2 linked regions of the Sus scrofa genome follow. The protein of the gene in region 2 purifies or fractionates together with the protein of the main gene of each other region. This does not show direct contact. Links are inferred from orthologs where the notes say so. Each region holds a gene or a part of one and is shown on either strand. Other genes may lie near its edges.

Evidence for each region. The genes of interacting proteins can lie anywhere in the genome.
Region 1: the proteins of DCAF7 (region 2) and CCT5 purify together in Homo sapiens (affinity purification with mass spectrometry; 4 studies listed by BioGRID and IntAct, counting the BioPlex papers as one, with this or other methods). This does not show direct contact. The link is inferred for Sus scrofa from reciprocal best matches to the Homo sapiens genes DCAF7 and CCT5.

What each region holds. Positions count from the first base shown.
Region 1 is NC_010458.4:72,219,899-72,225,227, forward strand, and holds the start of CCT5 (T-complex protein 1 subunit epsilon), read right to left. Parts: upstream 3,305-5,329; 5' UTR 3,157-3,304; coding exon 3,052-3,156; intron 183-3,051; coding exon 122-182; intron 1-121. UniProt on the Homo sapiens protein: Component of the chaperonin-containing T-complex (TRiC), a molecular chaperone complex that assists the folding of actin, tubulin and other proteins upon ATP hydrolysis.
Region 2 is NC_010454.4:15,347,617-15,352,648, forward strand, and holds the start of DCAF7 (DDB1- and CUL4-associated factor 7), read right to left. Parts: upstream 3,381-5,032; 5' UTR 3,129-3,380; coding exon 2,991-3,128; intron 1-2,990. UniProt on the Homo sapiens protein: Involved in craniofacial development. Acts upstream of the EDN1 pathway and is required for formation of the upper jaw equivalent, the palatoquadrate. The activity required for EDN1 pathway function differs between the first and second arches.

The sequences.
Region 1 (5,329 bases), on a different chromosome or scaffold from region 2:
ATGTTTGCCCATATTGGGGGAGGATGCATTCCTTCAATTCCTAACTTTCTGTAAAGAGGTTGTACTGACTATTTTATGATTTAAACTTGTTTTACAAAACACAGAATGTTGTGTCTCTTACCATTTGGTCCAAGTGATGTTTTCATTGTATTCGCTACGGCCTTTGCTGCCATTATGTGAGACTAAACGAAACAGAAACAACCAATATTCAAGTTATGTATAATTTTAAGAGTTAAGAGCATATAACTGATGGTTATAAAATCACTTACGACATAGTCTGCATTCTCTAGAAGAGGCAGCAGACAGGTCCTTACCTAACTGTGACAACTCCACAACTGGTGGTGTTAGGAGAGAATTCCCACATACACAGACAGAACCAAATGCTCTCCGCATTCTCTCTTTAATCCTCAGCCCATCTATGAGGCAGGTAGGTTCTCAGGGCCCATTTTACAGCCAAGAGCATAGACGGTCTGATGTGACAGGCCTTGCAGGTCCACCGTGAGACGCTAACCTCATCCACTCTCCTCTCTCAAATGGTCCAGCCAGCACATAATCCACAACCAAGAGTCACCCGCCGAGGGGGTCAATGCTGGAAATAACGGGAGCCCGAATGCATCCTTTCCTCCTTCTGCACAATTACACTCATTTTCCCTCTGAATGTCTGCTTTCCTGTCTCCCTATTCTTCTTCTTTTTTTTTGTCTTTTGTCATCTTAGGGCCGCACCTGCAGCATATGAAGTTCCCAGCCTACGGGTCCAATGGGAGCTGTAGCCGCAGGCCTACACCACAGCCACAGCAACGTGGGATCCGAGCTGCATCTGTGATCTACACCACAGCTCATGGCAATGCCGGATCCTCAACCCAATGAGTGAGGCCAGGGATTGAACCCGCGTCCTCATGGATGCTAGATGGGTTCATTAACCACTGAGCCATAATAGGACGTCCCCTCTCTATTCTTGCTGTCACCAACATCATTAGCCCAGATCCACAGCACCTTACAAATGCCCAGGGTCTCTTATGCCATCCTTCAGTCACCCTCCGGCCAGCTGAGCCATCCATTCTTCTCAAACATGTTGCTTATCAATCCCCAGACCTAAAATAGCTCCCCAGTACCTCAAGCCTCTTTGTTCAAAGCCGTCCAGTCGGAGCCTGGCTTCCTTTCACTGAGGACAGTCTGTTCCCCCAATATGGCCTGATCCCCGAAGCACTGATGCACAGAAGGCCCTCCACCCCAAGATCCTGACAACTTCCTAAGCAGTTCAAGAGCACGTGTTCTGTGAAGGCTTCCCGTGCCACCCCATTTAGCAGGTAACAAAAGACACAAAGTTCACTAGGTTTGCAGAGATACTGGCAGCCATTAAAATACACTCTGATGTCTGTACAACGGAATTTCTAAAGGATACTAACATGGGGACGTGGTTCTTAATCAGGGGTGATTCGCCCCTGAGGAGACCTCCAGGCAATGTCTGGGGACATCTTTGGTTGTCACAATTAGGAAGGGGACCATAGGGGGTAGAGGCCAGGGATGCTGCTAAACATCAGAACAGGACAGATGCCACAACAAAGAATGATCCAGCCCCAAATATCAATAGTGCCAAGGCTGAGACGTAGGCCTCAGACCACTGACCGCAGAATCAGACAGAGCTGGGCGTGAACCATGGAACCTGATCTTTACCAGCGCTGGGACCGCAAGCAATCATCTACCTGCTCTGGGGCCAAGTTTCCAATTATATAAAATAATACCTGTCTCAGAGTGTGAGAATTACATGAGATGTGGCTGACACAAAATCACCTGTAGCTTCTGTTTTTGGGGTGCATGCATTGAGTGGCACTTTCTCTAATGGTCCTTTCAGTGAAAAATGGAATTAAATATGTAACACAAGTGGCTCGCCTACCTACCATGGGTCAAAGATTGGATAAGTTACCCCATTTAATTTCCCTCCCAAGCCGGAAAGAGGTGTGCTGCCCCTGCTGGGAAAGGAGGTTCAGAGAGGTGGTGTTAACTTGTTTTAGGTCAAACAGTTCAGGGGAGAAAGAACTGCACTGCTTCTTAAATAAAACCCCAAGACACTAAGCAAACAGGGACACCTCAGGCCTGGCGACATGGTCTATCTCAAAGCCTACTTCCTCTGGCATAGTTCTACTTGTGATTCTGCTCAAAACCCCTCCATTGACCGTCTGAAGGATCCCCTCCAGCTTTTTCCTGCACTGCCTCCCATATCCCGTGGTTCTGGTCACACACTGCCTTATGTCATAGTTATTGGCGACCACTTTTCACTCTTTTTTTTTTTTTTTTGGTCTTTTTGCCATTTCTTGGGCCGCTCCCACGGCATATGGAGGTTCCCAGGCTAGGGGTCGAATCGGAGCTGTAGCCACCGGCCTACGCCAGAGCCACAGCAACGTAGGATCTGAGCTGTGTCTGCAACCTACACCACAGCTCACGGCAACGCCGGATCGTTAACCCACTGAGCCACGACGGGAACTCCCACTTTCACTCTTGTAGTAGTATTTTCTTCCTTAAAGGTGTACGTTTTCAGTTTTTATAATACCACATCCAGGATTACGCCGTGCATAGAAGGACTCAAAAATGAAATGCGCTGTCAATGACTAAGCCTTTAAGGAAGCAACGAAGAGTATGAACCTCTTTTCCTTTGGGGCTGTCGCAGGTATACCGACTGAAGGTAAAGAAGCAGGGTCCTAATCTGCCAGGGGACCCGAGAAATACCTCCTCTGCAGCTTACTGATACATGCGCCGTCGGAACGACAGCACGCTGGAGAAGCCAGCGGGGACGCGCGTTCTCCGCCTGTGAATTGAGGCTGCCCCACCCAGCTCTGGAGAGCGCTTGAGGGACACCCAAACCCTCAAACTGGGACTAAAGGCCTCTATGTTGGTCTTTCCCAGGCCCAAGGCGTTGGGTGCAGCACTGGAGACCAAAGAGGGGCTCCCCGACCTTCCCCGAGAGCACATGGCAGAACGGCTCTTAAATGTGCGCACGCGCGGAGCCAGGGGTTCGGGGTCCTCCGCTCATCCAGGGCGTCCCAGTCCCGTTACCTTGAGGGCCTCGAGTCCCATAAGACGAGACTTGCGGTCTTGATCTTTGATGATGAGAAAAGGGCGGCCATATTCGTCGAAGGCGAGGGTCCCCACGGACGCCATGGTGCGGCAGCAGCAGGAGTTCTCTCCCGCAACCGGCGGTGTCCACTCCGGAACCGAGAGAGTACTTTCCTCTCGCGGGAGGGCGCCAAGAGCTCGCGCGTGCGCAGCACAGGCCGCTCGAGACTTATTTCTCACCTGAGACTAGTTTAACGCCAGACAGTACCTTCTGGAATCAGCGGCCTTCGGCAACTTCTATCATCCGGGAAGCTGTGGGGGGGACAGTTTGAAGACACGAACGCGAACTTTAGAACCCACAAGCCGGTAGTAGATAGGATTTAGACACTTATTAAATCTGTAAAATCTGATGTTTCTCGATAGTGCTCCCAACGATGAGATCATTGACTCAGAGCATTGTTTTCTCCCTCCTTCCCACCCTGGCTTCGCGAAGATGGTAGAGTCCGCTTTTTTTTTTTTTTTTTTTTTTTTTTTTTAAACCTGCTGGAAATCTCGCGATGGAGGGAGGAAGAGGTGAGGTCAGCCCCGCGCGCGGCGCGTAGTTTGGGCCGCGGTCCTGGGTGCGGGCGCGGCGTAGGGCTCGTAGTCGTCTGTTGAGTCTGTGGTGCAGCGGGTCCGTGTCGGCGCAGGGGGGCGGGAAGTCGCGGGCCGCTGCCTCGGCTCGAGGCCTGGCGTTTGGGGCTCAGGGCTTGTGCGCGCCTCGGGCGCGTGCGCTGGTACTGGGATCTGGCCGCCGGGACCGGTTCCTAGCGTTTGGAGGCGAATAAGTCCCTTAGTTCGGCGCGGTCTTATACGATGTGTACTGGACTCACACTGTCGGGGTGGGGGTCACAGCTCTGCCGCTTACCAGCTGTGTCTTTGGGAAGGTGATTTGTCTGCAAAAATGGCAGTGGTAGCAATAGCTTCTCTCTTTACCGCTGCTCTACGGATTCAGGGGAAACAGTGCCTGGCCCTTAACAAGCTCTGTTCAAGTGTTTGTTAAAGAGATAGCTGTTTTGCACAAATACTCCAGTAACTTGCCCAAAGTTAGCTAGGAAGAAGCAAAATTGCCCAGTCTTGATCTGAGTCCCACTCTGAAGCCCTACGTTATGGTGCCTCCGAAAGATCTCTCTTAGCAACTTGTCTAAAAAGTACCAGATCCTCTGTTGCTTTTTCTTTGGAGCACAAATCACGACGTAATGTTTTCTGGGTTTAGATTTATTTGTTGTGGGTTTCGTGCCTCCCTGACCTCCATCTGACATAGAGTGGGACTTGACTCGTATTATTCCTAGCTTTTATTGGATACTCAAATGTGGAAATGGATGCATGGATTATAACATTTAACCTGTGGCCTGAAAGTGAGGAATTGACTTTGTCACCAGGTGGTTGATCATTTAACCCCTCCTGATACCTGGCCCACTTACTCTGTAGCTTACAGTGATGCTCCAAGGCCATTTTGGCTTTTGGAGCCACATCTCAATTCACTTTAGCTTGGCCAGTTCAGTGTTTCCTTATTCAGAATAACAAATCCTGTAATCCATTTGGCTCATTAGATAGTTATGAAGTGTAGGAAATGTGTAATGATGCCCGCTGTGCAGTTTTTCTTTAAAGCATGGGGAAAAAAGGGTTTTCCTGTTAATGTATTCTGTGTATAAGCAAGTACACAATGAACAGCTCGAAGATACTATGACGTTCAATTATAAACCCCCAGTGTAAATTCGTGTGGCAGGTCACAATTCCAAATAGGCCTCTTGTTTCTTCCTGGCCTTTTTCCTTTGGCTCAAACTTGGATAAAGACTCCTAAACCTTTGTGGGCTTATGTTGCTGCCTCTAGCTTTAGCTGGCCCACATCTGTCACTGAAAATTGAGATTTTTCTGTCACTACCAGAAGTCAGTAACCAGGCAAGCCTGTAGACAGCGGAAGTTCACTTCTTTGGGTCTTTTACTTACAAGGATGGACTTGTTCCTGGGCTTAGCAGGAACAGCTGGTGGTCCCATGGCTTTCTTTTAAAGGAATGCTGCCGCCTTCAAAAGGACATGTCGGATGGAGATGGTATGTTTTTTTTTTTTTTTTTTTTTTTCTTTTTAGGGCCACACCTGATGCTTATGGAAGTTCCCAGGCTAGGGTTGAATTGGAGCTGCAGCTGCTCAAGGCAACACCTGATCTGAGCCACACCTGTGACCTGCACTACAGCTCACGGCAACGCTGGATCCTTAACCCTCTGGCTGAGGCCAGGGA
Region 2 (5,032 bases):
AACTCTTGCACCTTCTTGGCAAAGTTTCTCCAAAACTGAGCTTGATAAAGTGAGATTTACTGGCCACCAGCTCCTACACACAAATCCTCTACAGCGGGGTTTCTCATCTTAATGTTGACGAAGATGAGTTGGAAAATCACTTTTATATTTTCACAACCTCTAGCTGAAATGTAGCATTTCCTTCCATTATAAATGGAGGCAGCTACTCACAGCAGCATCCATATCTGATTTGTCACCAATAGAAATCACCGATGTTTTTCCTATCACATTACAGTGAATATACTGAGATGCTGTTTACCCTTATGGGTACTTCAAAATTAATGATTAAAATGGTTGATGTGATTTAATGAGTTAATTTAAAAGTACGCATTACCACTTAAAAAAAATTTTTTTTCAGAACTGCCATGTTTCAATCCCTTATTTACATGGGGGAAACTGAGACAGGACAGTCAGAAGCCAGTTCCCTTAATAAAAAGAGCCCAAACCACTAGCCCAGGACAGACAAGCTCTCCTGCCCACTGCTTCCCTTAGCAGTATATTCACTAAACCTCTTCTAACCTACTTCTAAAAAAAATAAATAGTTTTGCCTTTTGCTATGCTCACGGCACTCGAAAGTTCTAGGGCCAGGGATCAGATTGAACCAGAGCCATAGCAGCAACTCAAGGCGATGCAGTGACGACACCGGATCCTTAACCCGCTGCACCATGAGAAAACTCCAAAAAATGTTTTTAGTAACTATGAGTCATATGGTTGGTTTCCTTTGTAATCCCATGTATTTTATGCATTTGAAAACATAATTATGAACAGAGGTCTATTGGCTTCCGACTGCCAAAGCTGTCCATCAAACACATATACACACACAAGAACTCTGACCTGGGGCAGGGGACACAAAAACCATTTTAAGACACCACGTTGCCCACATTACGCAAGTGAGTTAAGACAGAGGTAACTGCTTATTCTATTACTACTGGGATTATCAATTAGCATTTTACGACTAAAACCACACTGCCTGCGTGCCTGGCACAAAGAAGGAGCTCCATAATTGAAAGGATAAATTTGGGGGCAGAGTTCCTGCAACCAAAGTTTGACACCAATTACTCCACTGATTCTACCAGCAGCCTAACTGTGGCTTGGTTTCTCATCTCTTAGAAATGGGGCTGCTACTGCTTACCTAAATTGACCTTGCAAGAAAAAAAAATCCATCCGTCTGTGTGAAAAGACTCAAGCCCTTTGAAAGATGTATTTTACTACCACCCCCCCTTTGTTTAAACATGTATTCTTAAACAACAGTTCTAGTGCTCTCAACTTTACTAATTCAGTTTACACATCAGGACCCTGAATTTCACTTTAGCAGCTCTGCGGTCCACTATGTGCCATAAGGAAGAAAGAGGCTCCAGAAGAAAAATAAAGCTATGTCTTTTCAGGACTCTCTGGTTTCTGTGGGAAATCGTGGACTCCGAGATCAGTGCATACTTTCAGGGATTTGTTTGTAAAGTGTGTATGTGGGATGTCTGGGCAACAAGAGTCCATTGTTCTCATCAATTTCTCAAAAAGGATTACAAAAAATTTAAGACCTAATTTTTTTGGGGGGAGGGAAGGCATACATACAGCATATGGAAGTTCCCAGGCCAGGGGTCAAATTGGAGCTGCAGCTGCCGGCCTACACCACAGCTCTAGCAACTTGGGATCCAAGCTGTGTCTGTGACCTACACCACAGCTCCTGGCAACGCCAGACCCTTAACCCACTGACCAAGGCCAGGGATCCAACCAGCCTCCTCATGGATCCTAGTCGGGTCGTCACTGCTGAGCCACAACCAGAACTCCTTAAGATCTAATTCTAAGATGTGCTCCTGAAAACCTGCAAACAAAATTACAATGCTCAAATGTTTTCTAAAGGACTTCTTTCCTACAACAAACTGTGGGTCAGAAATAATAAAACTTACCTATGCAGTGTCCCACAGCTAATCAGTGGACTAGACAAGGCCTAATCCTAGAGCACCTGGCCTTTTCCCCTGCACCATGCCTCTGCCCACAATTTATTCTTAAATTAGACTGTTCCTGGTGTCAAGCAGGTGTACAGGTTTTAAACACCACTAAGCATGGCTCTCAGTTGCTCTGATCACTATCAGTCAATCACAACGCTTACTCTAATACAATAAATGGCAAACTACGGAGTAATGGAAAGAAAATTCTTTCCACTAACTTATTCAACTTCCAAAACTAAATTTATGTGTCACTGCCAGCTTCAAGCTTCCTCCTATTAACCGCGCTTCTAAAAAGGATTCTCAAATTGTGGATGTCCAGAAAGACTTACTTCTACTCCAGGTTACTTGTCTGTATCAGCATGAAAGATGCCAAGAAAACAAATGGCAAGCATCACCCTTTTCTATGCAGAAGACAATAGCCATTGGCAAGATTTCCAAAAAGAGATAGCTTTGAAGAGGACGAATATGAGGCAGCAATAGCAATGGCAATCCCGGCAGAAAGGCTGGGGAAATCCAGGGAACAGGGGGCGGTGAAACCTGCTAAACAGTCCTAATAGAAATCTAGTGTGGCCAGGGGAGAAGGACCACGGGGCTCCAGCATCTTCTTCGCAGCCATCACTCCCTCATCCCTCCTCCGCCCCCCAACTGAAGCTGCAGGAGAGGAGGGGATAGGCGTGATAAACGGCACAGCTCTGCGCTGCAAACTTGGGTTTGAGACCTGTTTCCGTCACGCAATAGCTGTCTGACTGGGGCAAGTCACAACACGGTGCCTCAGTTCCCCCATCGGTAAAATGCGGGTAACTACACTCCTGACTACCCAGGAATGCTGCAAGGATTAAATGAGACGAGAGCGAAACCCTCTGCACAGGGCCAGACACAGAGGAACCGCTCCGTGGCGCTAAGGCAGGTCCGCAGGAGGGTCCTGGGGTCTGAGCTCCGGCCGGGAAAGGGCGCTCCAGGTGCCCGCGTCCCTCTAGCTGGGTTCCGAGCCCCTGCCCGGCCCACCTTGTTGTTGTACTCCTCCACGAAGCTGCCCAGCGCCAGGCGAAAGCGCTTGTCGGGCCGCACGCTCCAGTTCATGGCGTAGACGGTCCAGGGCGCTTCATACTTGTAGATCTCCTTCCGTTTGCCGTGCAGGGACATAGTGGCGGCGGCGGGGCCGCAGTGCGGGCCGGGACGGCAGCGAGCTGCGGCGGGCGGGGCGCGAATCGGGCAGGGAGTCAGGCCTGGGACGGAGGGGTCCGAAGGGAGGCGGGGCGGGGGCGGGTACGGACAGCCTAGCCCGGAAGCGGGGCCGCTGCTACAGACAACGACAGCCGAGCCCGACCCCCACTTTCAAACCTGCTTCGGCTCGGACAACAACCACCTTCCGTTTGAGACCCCGCCCCACCCTCTAGAACGGAAGCCACGCGACCCCCTCAGCGGCGCCGGCCGTTGGCTACCTGACACGTCCTTTCGAACGGCTCCTTCTCCTCATTGGCTAGTGTACCCGTAGCTTCTGAAACCTCCTTGCTATTGGTGCGTATGGTTGTCATTCCGATTACTTGCTCTGCCCAACTCCAGGGGGCAGGCGCTTTCACAGCCACAAAGGTCATTGGCTGACAAAGATGTCAGTCAGAGAGATAACGGCGCAGTGCGGGTGAATCGGGGTGTGGGCGGCTTAAAAGCTCGCGTACTGTGCAGCAGGCCTCCAAGTTCTAGGCCAAGTCTCTGAGAGTGAAACCTCTTACGTGACTGCTCTGACTTCCCCACTGCAGCTGCTATTCTGACCGGATTCTCCACGTTGGCGAGTGAAAATGAAAAGTCTGCCTTACGAGAGGGCCTGCTGCGTTTCGCGGCACTGAGCTCCCGGGCCTTGCGGACGGGCCTGCGCCGAAGGGAAACCCCTTTATTTCCCTGCTTCGCCAACGCCTCCTTTAAATTGGAATGTTGTTCTCCCAGCGTACCAAGGGCAGACGGCGGACACGCCGCTCTACTCAGGACCAGGCCAGCTTCAGTCAACCTTTCCTGGCCATTCTAGAAGTGCTTGGAATTAGAGGATTGGTCTTCAGCAGGCAGCAACCCCGCCAGCGTGGCTGTCAGCTTCTGTTTCCATCTTTTCCCACGAGCGTCCCAAGGCAAATGCTAATCTAGCCTTAAATATATAAGTGTCTTGAATTTGAAATGGGGAAGGGTCAGAATCTAGGTAACATCTCTTTATAATTTAAATGGTTTCCAATAATTTGCTTTCAACAAAACTAAGCAAAAAATTGTATTGAATTGTTAGATAATATATCATTAAATATAGTATTTAGTGGAGTTCCTGTTGTGGCTCAATGGAAACAAATCTGACTAGTATCCATGAGGACGCAGGTTCGATCCCTGCCCTCGCTCAGTGGGTTAAGGATCCGACATTGCCATGAGCTGTGGTGTAGGCCAGCGGCTACAGCTCTGATTCGATCCTTATCGTGGGAACCTCAATAGTTAGGGCACATGTGACCTTAAAAAGACTATATATATATAGTTTTTAGTGATAAAAGTGATTGTTAACAGAAAACTCAGAAAGAAGGACGCACGTTTGATCACCAGCCCCACACAGTGGGTTAAGGATCCAGGGTTGCCACAGCTGCAGTGTAGACGGCAACCGCAGCTGGGATCTGATCCCTGGCTAGGGAACTCCATATCCATGTGCTTCCAGGTGGCCAAAAAAAAAAAAAGAAAGAATTCAAAGAATTGAGTGACTGAGTGACACTGTTTAATGTAACAAACTCCTCACAGTCCTATCCACTTCCGTAGGTGAACAAGTTTTCTGTGTTTATGTCTTCCTCTAATAAAAAAATAATATTCATTCACATACATGGACTAATTGAGAGGAAAATACCCTCTCTTAAGAGCTGTATTTCCAGTAAAATTTTAGTTTCTATAAAAATTTAAATAGAGAAGAGTTCCCGTTGTGGCTCAGTGGTTAACGAATCCGACTAGGAACCATGAGGTTGCGGGTTCTATCCCTGGCCTTGCTCAGTGGGTTAAGGATCGGGCGTTGCCGTGAGCTGTGGTGTAGGTCGCAG